Caenorhabditis elegans: one gene and its partner. The protein of the gene in region 1 purifies or fractionates together with the protein of each later gene. This does not show direct contact. Each region holds a gene or a part of one and is shown in the gene's direction. Other genes may lie near its edges. The genes, in order: Y54G2A.18 and tmed-10.

Region 1 (3,594 bases):
ATTTTTTTCTTGTGAATAATGAAATCCTTTTTGCAGAACTCAACATCTGCTCAGTCCAGCGTGTATAATTCTCGCACGGATCCCGAAAACGCGGCAATGGATTCGGACGAGGAGCTTCGGAAGATGATGGAGGGATTCGTTGACGATGAAGAGAGCGACCCAACCTACGAGCCCCCATAATCCCCAAAATTCAATATATTTTATGTTTATTCTCCCAGTCTATTGTGAAATATGTAAACTAATTTCCTAACATTATTAATTGTTTTCCTTATTGTTTCTAATTTCCCTCTCGAAATTCTACCATTCACCGCTCCCAATTATATTTATTTTATTTATTGAGTTTTCTGTGATCTCACACCATTCATCAACACGGTTATTTTATTTTTATTCTCCCAGTCTTGTGAAATATTTATGTAAACTAATTTTCTAACATTTTTTATTGTTTTCCTGTGAATAATATTTTGTTTTTTTTTATTACTGTTTTTCCTTTTTTATTATTGTTTTCCTGTGAATAAATTCGACTGGTGCTCCAATAATTTTGCATTTTTTCCAGAATTTTTTTGGTTTTTTTTTGCCGTATTCATATTTTAAAACATAATTCTGACCATATTACAGAAAATTTTGCCGAAAAAACCAAAATTTGGGTTTTTAAAAATTGTTTTCTAGTAAAGTCGATATCCAAGCTACCGTAACCAGCGCTCCGCTGTGAGACCTATGATCCTTGATGGTGTATGCGCCTTTAAAGCAACCGGTAGTTTTTCCAGCTTTTTAGCAGAAATTATTCGAGAAACTGAAGAAAAGAAGAGTTTTGAATTGTTTTATGCAAATTTCAGCGATTTTTTCTTCAAAAATCTATGAAAACTCCTCATTTTAGTCTTTTTTTTCTCCAAAAAAAACCACATTTGCACAGATATTCCCGGCCGTTTAAAAATAGGTCAAGGTCGTCCTTTCGCCGATTGTTTAGTCATTTTGTCTACGTCTCAGTTACTCTAAAAACGCCCATAACGTACTATGTTCGAGGCGAAAATTTCGCAATTTTTCATCTAAAAACTTCCAACACGCCGAGATACACGTCGCCAAAGCCCCGAGCATAAAAGCATGAGGTATTCATGTTTTGCAGTGCTGATTTTTTGGTTTTTTTTTCTAAATGTTTCCACTTCGTACATTGATTTTTTGCATATTCTGGGACACGATTAGAGTTTTTCTTCAAGTTTCTGTGTGAATTTGGCCAATTTTGAATGAAAATCGCCGAAATTGAGCAATTTTTAAAGAAAATTAGCCATAATTGAACGATTTTCCTCAAAAATTGAATTAAAAGCGTTTTAAAAATACAGTATCCTTAAAGGCGCATACCCAAATTTAGTATTTCGGTGCGAGACCCTCTCGGGTAAATCGAACTCCCTTTAAAGTTAATCCACGTTTTCCTTCAATTTTATTGGATTTTTATGAACTTTTTGCCTGATTTCGATGAAAAATAGCGATTTCAATGAAATTTTCGACGGTTTTTCATGAAAAATAGCGATTTTTGATTAAAAAACGTTTATTTTTGCTCTAAAAATCTTTAATGATTGACCAAATACAGATTTATTGTTTTCTATTTGTTGTCTCCGCTGCTCTTTGGTGTCTTCGATGTTTTTAGTTTTTTTCCGTTTCTCTCCCCTCGGTCTCCCCAATTCTTGCACTCTCTCTCTCGTCCATCGTTGTGTTCCGATCGATTTCAGGCAGTTGTTTGTTGCACTGCCCCCACAAACTCTTATTTCTTATCACTTTTCTTTTTTTTTTCGGTGGAATTTTACCATTTTTCGCTGATTTCTTTTATTAATTTTGACAAAAATATAACTTTTTTTTCTTCAGAAACAACATGACACTTCAGTGGACCATCGTGGCCGGCGTGCTTTACGCAGAAATCGCCATCACCTTCACCCTCCTTCTTCCATGGATCAGACCGACTTTGTAGGTGAAAAGTTCGAGAAAAACCGAGGAAATTGCAGCTTTTGATCAATTTTTGACGAAAAATCGATATTTTTAAATCTTAAAAATCCTAAATTTCTCAATTTCCAGGTGGAGCAAGTTGTTCAAGTCCCGTCTCTTCACAGCTCTCGCCAAACATGCTCACATCTATTCGATCACGTTCGGCTTCGTGCTCTTCATCCTCTTCGCCGACGGCGTTCGCGAGACAATGAAGTACAACGGGCTCGAGGGACAAATGGGCCGTACCGCCGAATCCGACGCCACCCACCACATGCGTCTGTTCCGTGCGCAGAGAAATCTCTACATTTCCGGCTTCGCTCTTCTCCTTTGGCTCGTCATTCAGCGTATTATGACCTTGTTGGGCCGCGCCGCCCAACTTGAAGCCGCCAGCGAGGCCGCAATGCGTCAAGCCGAATCTGCTACCAAGACCGCCAGGACTTTGATGAACTCGGTGAGAAAATAGGCTCAAATTCCTTAAAAACCGTGTAAATTTCCAAATTTTCAGGCTGACACCAACGAAGAAGCCGCCGGATTGGCAAAGCAAATCGAGAAGCTCAAGGGAGAGCTCAAGTCCGCCAACACTGACCGTGACACTCTCAAGAAGCAATCCGAAGGGCTCCAGCGCGAGTTCGACCGCGTCTCCGATCTTCTCAGAGATTCTGCCGAATCCAAGGGTGACAAGAAGAAGGACTAATCGATTCTCATTTCGCGTTTTGTTTTTTCTATTATCAAAATCACAATTTTCTCAAGCCGCCTATATATTTTTGTTTTTGTATAGAATCGCTCAGTTTTCGAGTGAATAAAATGTAAATTATTTTGAAACATTTTTAGATACAGTTTAAGAATTTACAGAACACAGAGAACAGAGAAAATAATTAAAATAATTAGTACTTGTACTTGGTCGAGTAGTCTTTCGGCGAGATGACAAGACCACGTCCTTTACGAGCTCCACGATAGACCGTCTCGATGATGTCGATCAGCTCCTGCCCGTCGGTCACTGCCCAGTTGATTTTGTTGTTGTTACCGGTTCCCAGATCCACCATAATATGCTTGTTACGGAAGAAGAACATGGCGGTGCACGGATCGTACAGCTCGTACATTTTGTTGAAATCCGGCACCTTCGTGATGTCGACGAGGTAGACGACGGCGAAATTCTTGACTTTTGGCGCGATTTTGAAGAGCGTTTCGTCCATTTGCATGCAAGTTGGGTCCCAATCGTGTCCGAATCGCACGACGACTACGCGATCTTCTTCGGCGAGAATCGCCTGGTCCACCTGCAATAAATCGTTATTTTTTGTCAGTTTTGAGCATTTTAAACAAATTTTCATCACAGAATTCTGTTTTTCTGAACAGCAAACATTAAATTTGCAGGTTTTTTTGCCGTTTTAAAATCAAACTGTCAATTTCCCTTACCTGCCAACCATTCTCCAAATGAGGGAGCATATACGACATGGTTGCGTTGAATTAGTGAGTTTTTGAGCCAACAAATCTGAAAAATTGATAAATTTAATGGAAAAATGGCTGAAAACATGAGAAAGTAACAGAAAAACCAGTGGAAAATTGATTTTCGAAACAAAATTCCCGCTGGCTAAACAACACGCGATGCGGCATTTCGGAGCATCG
Region 2 (5,469 bases), on another chromosome or scaffold:
AGTAAAATATCGCGTTTTTGCTGGATTTTAGGGATTTTAAAGCAATTTTCAACATGCGGGACCGCCCAGAGACTGTTCGCGATGCGATTTACTTCATTTTAATATAAATTTTCCCCCAAATAAGCTCGAAATGAGCTCTGAATTTCGGCGGATCTGAAAATTTTTTTTGACCAAAAACAGAATTTTGCAAATAAAAATTGATTTTAGAGCAATTTATTGCATAAATATTCAATTTTAGAATTTTTACTAATAGTTTGAATCTTTTTAAAGTGTTTTAGTCATTAATTTGACTGATAACACAGAAAATGATTTTTCTTTACAACGAAATCGATAAAAAAGTAAAGCAACATTTATCAAGGGAAATCTTGCAAAATTGGTTAAAAAACTTGTATGAAATCAAAGATTTCACTAGAATAAAGCTACAAATCAATCAAAATCACTAAAAGTACAAATAGTTCTGATCAAATTTCAATGTTCCAATCTACCAATGGATCTATGCCACGCCAAATTTCTTATGCAAGTGTTGCTCTCCAATTTTCCTTAAAAAATGGATCAAATACTCACATAAATGATCAAATTAACATTTTTTACAAGTTTCGTGTTATATTTTCTTTTTCTTAATAAGGAACCATCAGGTTCTTCCTGCCCTCTACGGCTCTAGATACCTCAACTTCGACAACTCCTATCTACTCGGAGAGGTGAGAGAACTTGTAGAGCACATCAAAAACTATGATATTCAATTTAACCTGCGTTTTTATCTTTCAAGATGGGGGAGTTAGACGTACATTTGTATTGCATGCTTTTTGTTATTCTACTGGCTGCTCTAACTCCCTCATCTTAAGAGATAAACACATGATTTTAACTAATTAGTATAGTTTCTACAATTTCCTAGTTAATCACTTTTTGATATCTTGCATCTCTGAGGAGATAGGAGTTGTCGAAGATACAGTATCTATAGCTATGCGCATATGAAGAATCTAATGGATTCTCATCATGCTATACTACTTATCATCTGCTTTTTGTGGGAAACAATGATTCAAAAATGTTTTTTCAAATGATCAAACAAGTTGTGATTTGATCTGAACATTTAGTGTTGGTTTAGTGAAGATCAGCTGCCAACTAAACAGTTTCCGTTGATGTGGGCATTTTTGAACAATTTCAAGACGTGAAACCGTGTTATCTCTATCAAGCTGACGTTTAAAAATTGGAATCAAACATATTAATGCTTGAAAAAATTTGTTTCGCGTAGAAATTTTGTCATAAAGTTAACTTGTTCTAGTCGGTTCGAAAATCAATGAAAAAGCAGCCAAATCGTGAATTTGTTGAATAAAATGTTTTTTAAAACTTTTTTAAAGCAATAATAATCCCAATATTTAATTATTTTTTCCAAATTTCATCTTGAAAACTCGAATAATCGCGAAATTTCGTCTGAAACTCATTTAATACCGTAAAAGTGTGCAAACGCGCTCCGTTGGACTTTCCTATTCTCGATTTTCTTAACTCTCCCGATTTGAGGCGCTGTGTTTTCCTGTTAAAATGCGTTTGTCAACGTTGACAACTCAACTACGGTTGCCAATGCGTGTTTGCGTACACACTCGATCCCACGCGCAACTGCATACGCCGCGTTGGTTTTAATTCCATCTTTTTTAAATTTATTTTCGGCGTTTGTATTGATTTTTGCTGTGTATTCCTTTAACATGAACTGATTTTTGTCCATGATAACTTTTGAACAACTTAATATTCATTATCGCATTTTTCTTACATTTATTTCCAGGTAATCATCCGAACAATTATGAAATCTCTAGTTATCTTTCTGTCAGCTATCGTTCTTGCCCATTCTCTGAGGTTCTACGTGCCACCAAAAGAGAAAAAGTGTCTGAAAGAGGAAATTCACAAGGTAAATACTTTTACAACTCCTTGTTACCATAGCAGTAAAGATGTCAAACATACTTTTTTTCGTTAAAAATTGATATATTTAATAAACATCAGAATTTATGTCTAATAAAACCTCTTGCAGAATGTGGTCGTAACAGGAGAATATGAGTTCAGTCAAGGAATTCAATACACTGGAAGTATTCACGTGAGTAAAAATAGTTTCAAAATTACTTCAAATTTTTAATTTATTTTCAGGTCACCGACACCAGAGGCCACACTCTCTACAAACGTGAAAACTTTGCTGATCTAAAAGGAAAATTCGCGTTCACTGCTGACGAATACGACATCTTTGAGATTTGCATTGAGAATCATCCACCAGCTGGGCATCCTGGAGAGAAGCGCGAGGTTTCTCTTATTTTGAAGCACGGAGTCGAAGCCAAGAATTATGATGATATTGCCAAAGCCGAGAAGCTGAAGCCACTCGAGGTTGAACTTAGAAGATTGGAGGATATGGCTGATTCAATCACCAAAGATTTCGCATTCATGCGCCAAAGAGAGGAAGAAATGAGAAATACGAACGGTAAGTGTTTAAAAAATCATTTGAATCATATAAAAGGTTCGTAATTATTTTAATTTAAAAATAATGCATTGCCGATTATCCAAGTACAGTGCTCCACATAATGATACGGCCACCCCCAAATTTTGGTATAACTCAAAACTGGGTTGAGATAGCAAAACATAATTTCTTGTGAAAATGTCCGCTGTACTGGCTAACTTTCAGATAAGTATTGGAAATATACATGAACCGTTCGTAAAAAAAGATAAACCATTTTTTCATGAAAATCCATATAAAAAAATCCACAAAATGATACGGCCACCCTTGGTTATTGTTTTCTTTTTTCGTTTTCTTTGCAATTTTTTTTGCTAAACGTTAGGTTTCATGTTCGTTTGTGTTTTTACAGCTATGTGTCGTGGAATAACTTTAACTGACTACGGAAAAAGACAAATTGTGCAAAATTATCTCAAGGCTTTTCGGATCGTCAGATTTCTCGTGATTTGAAACGTTCGAGAGATATGATCATTCGATATGCTTCAAATCCTGCCGCTCATTGCACCAAACAGTCTTCTGGTCGCCCACCACTTCTTTCTGGTAGAGACAAGCGAAAAATCGTTCGTCGAGCATCAAATTGAACAGTGACTTTCTCAAAAATTAGGCGCGAGATGAACCTGCCAGTGTCTGTTGAGACTGCACGACGTGTTCTTTCGAATTCCCAGTTTATCAAAAGACGAAAATTGAGAAAGGCTCCTTTCATTACCGAAAAAACCGCTAAAATCGTATTCAGTTAGCTAAAATCAGCCAGAGAACTAACTGGAGACAAGTGAAGATTACCGTATGATCATTCAAGCCCAATTTTGGTTTTAGTTCATCTTTTCTTCTCTCAAATCGTACCAGTAATCACGGTAGCCTTCTGGTTCATCACAGTTAAACTTTTCCTCGTCACTGAAGATGATCTGAGACCAATACATGAGCTTGAATGATCATACCGTAATCCTCACTTGTCTCCAGTTAGTTCTCTGGCTGATTTTAGCAAACTGAATACGACTTTGGCAGTGTTTTTCGGTAATGAAAGGAGCCTTTCCTAATTTTCGTCTTTTGATAAACTGAGACTTCGAAATAACACGTCGTGCAGTCTCAACAGACACTGGCAGGTTCATCTCGCGCCTAATTTTTGAGCAAGTCACTGTTCAATTGGATGCTAGACGAACGATTTTTCGCTTGTCTCTACCAGAAAGAAGTGGTGGGCGACCAGAAGACTTTTTGGTGCAATAAGTGGCAGGATTTGAAGCAAATCGAGTGATCATATCTCTTGAACGTTTCAAATCACGAAAAATCTGACGATCCGAAAAGCCTTGAGATAATTTTGCACAATTCGTCTTTTTCCGTAGTCAGTTAAAGTTATTCCACGACACATAGCTGTAAAAACACAAACGAACATAAAACCTAACGTTTAGCAAAAAAAAATTGCAAAGAAAACGAAAAAAGAAAACAAAAACCAAGGGTGGCCGTATCATTTTGTGGATTTTTTTATATGGATTTTCATGAAAAAATGGTTTATCTTTTTTTACGAACGGTTCATGTATATTTCCAATACTTATCTGAAAGTTAGCCAGTACAGCGGACATTTTCACAAGAAATTATGTTTTGCTATCTCAACCCAGTTTTGAGTTATACCAAAATTTGGGGGTGGCCGTATCATTATGTGGAGCACTGTATTAAGCTTTTATTATCATTGTTAATTAAATAGATTTGTAAGGCTACAACATATCGTTTCGAGACGCAATTCATTCTCTTCACGGAGCAGGATATTGTGATCCCTGGAAATTGTTTACCACTTTACTTGAGCAAACTCTAATTATTCGATTCATCGACAACCATCTATTTTTTACTTTTTTTTACAGAATCGACAAACAGCCGAGTTCTTTACCTGTCCATCTTTTCAATGCTGTGCCTTCTTGGTCTTGCCATTTGGCAAGTTCTTTTCCTCCGTAATTACTTCAAGTCGAAAAAGCTTATCGACTAGATTTCCCCAACCCTTAATTTATGATTAATTTATCAATTTTTTTTTCGGTTCTCCTCAACTTCTTGCTTTTCCCCCAACATCTCTTTTGTCCACACACCCAAACGTTTCATGTGATTTCTAATTGGTTCCCACATCTTTTTTACTAGATAATGATGATAATGAGTATTTTATTTTGTTGGATTTTAGTTGTTTCCTCCCCCGTTAATCTGCACAAGTATCAACAAAGGGTAAAATGTATAGTGTGTAATGTTTCCGTCTTATTTTTCTGTTTTCATCATTGCCGTTTTTTAAAATCATTATTATGAACTTTTAAATTGAAACATTGAAACATCAATTGGTAATTTACTCACCATATGGTGATTTAGTAAAGTACATAAGATCACTTTTCAAGAAGTCTTTTTCAGACGTCATCCTTTCAGAAATAACTTCAGACTTCATTCTCCACCAGTTCACTTACAACAATGATCGGTCTACATATTTTCCACTACGCCGGCTTTTTCGGAGCACAAATCTTCAATACTGTTCTGGCAATATTAATTGTGAAAAGAGCTGGAAAACTGTTTGGTAGTTACCGTCATGTTATGTTTGTATTCACATTTTGTTCGATGTTGTACTCTGCAGTAGAGATAATTGCACAGCCGGTACGATACAATAGAAAATTGGAACTTGAAATTGAAATTTTGAGAATGTTACTTCAAATAATCGTCTTTCAGGTACTATACATGAAAGGTCCAATGTTTGTCGTGTTTCTTGATAATAACGTTTTTTCTCAAGGCATTGGAAATGTAGTTGCTTGTTAGTTTTAAACATTTTACTTTTCATAGAACTCTTAAACAAAAAATGAATTTCCCTCTTTTTTTGGTTATTGAAGTGAAAACAACAATTTACAGGTCTTCATTGTGGTACCTTTGGATTTTTGATTTCTGTATTTGCGGCACAGTTTTTCTACAGATACATTGCATTGTGCAGGTTTTCTTGAATAGATTCAACAAATTTCTGATTGAAACTCTTT

What was found.
Region 2: the proteins of Y54G2A.18 (region 1) and tmed-10 fractionate together in Caenorhabditis elegans (co-fractionation; one large-scale study listed by BioGRID). This does not show direct contact.

The regions. Positions count from the first base shown.
Region 1 is NC_003282.8:2,890,756-2,894,349, reverse strand, and holds Y54G2A.18 (Endoplasmic reticulum transmembrane protein), read left to right. Parts: upstream 1-1,854; 5' UTR 1,855-1,861; coding exon 1,862-1,953; intron 1,954-2,061; coding exon 2,062-2,422; intron 2,423-2,476; coding exon 2,477-2,665; 3' UTR 2,666-2,790; downstream 2,791-3,594. Other genes in the region: Y54G2A.19 (Intraflagellar transport protein 46 homolog), read left to right, coding at 37-180; dib-1 (Thioredoxin-like protein), read right to left, coding at 2,856-3,245, 3,385-3,423.
Region 2 is NC_003283.11:11,323,270-11,328,738, reverse strand, and holds tmed-10 (GOLD domain-containing protein), read left to right. Parts: upstream 1-1,774; 5' UTR 1,775-1,792; coding exon 1,793-1,897; intron 1,898-2,017; coding exon 2,018-2,080; intron 2,081-2,130; coding exon 2,131-2,455; intron 2,456-4,335; coding exon 4,336-4,457; 3' UTR 4,458-4,774; downstream 4,775-5,469. Other genes in the region: str-141 (Serpentine receptor class r-10), read left to right, coding at 4,919-5,098, 5,171-5,252, 5,348-5,426.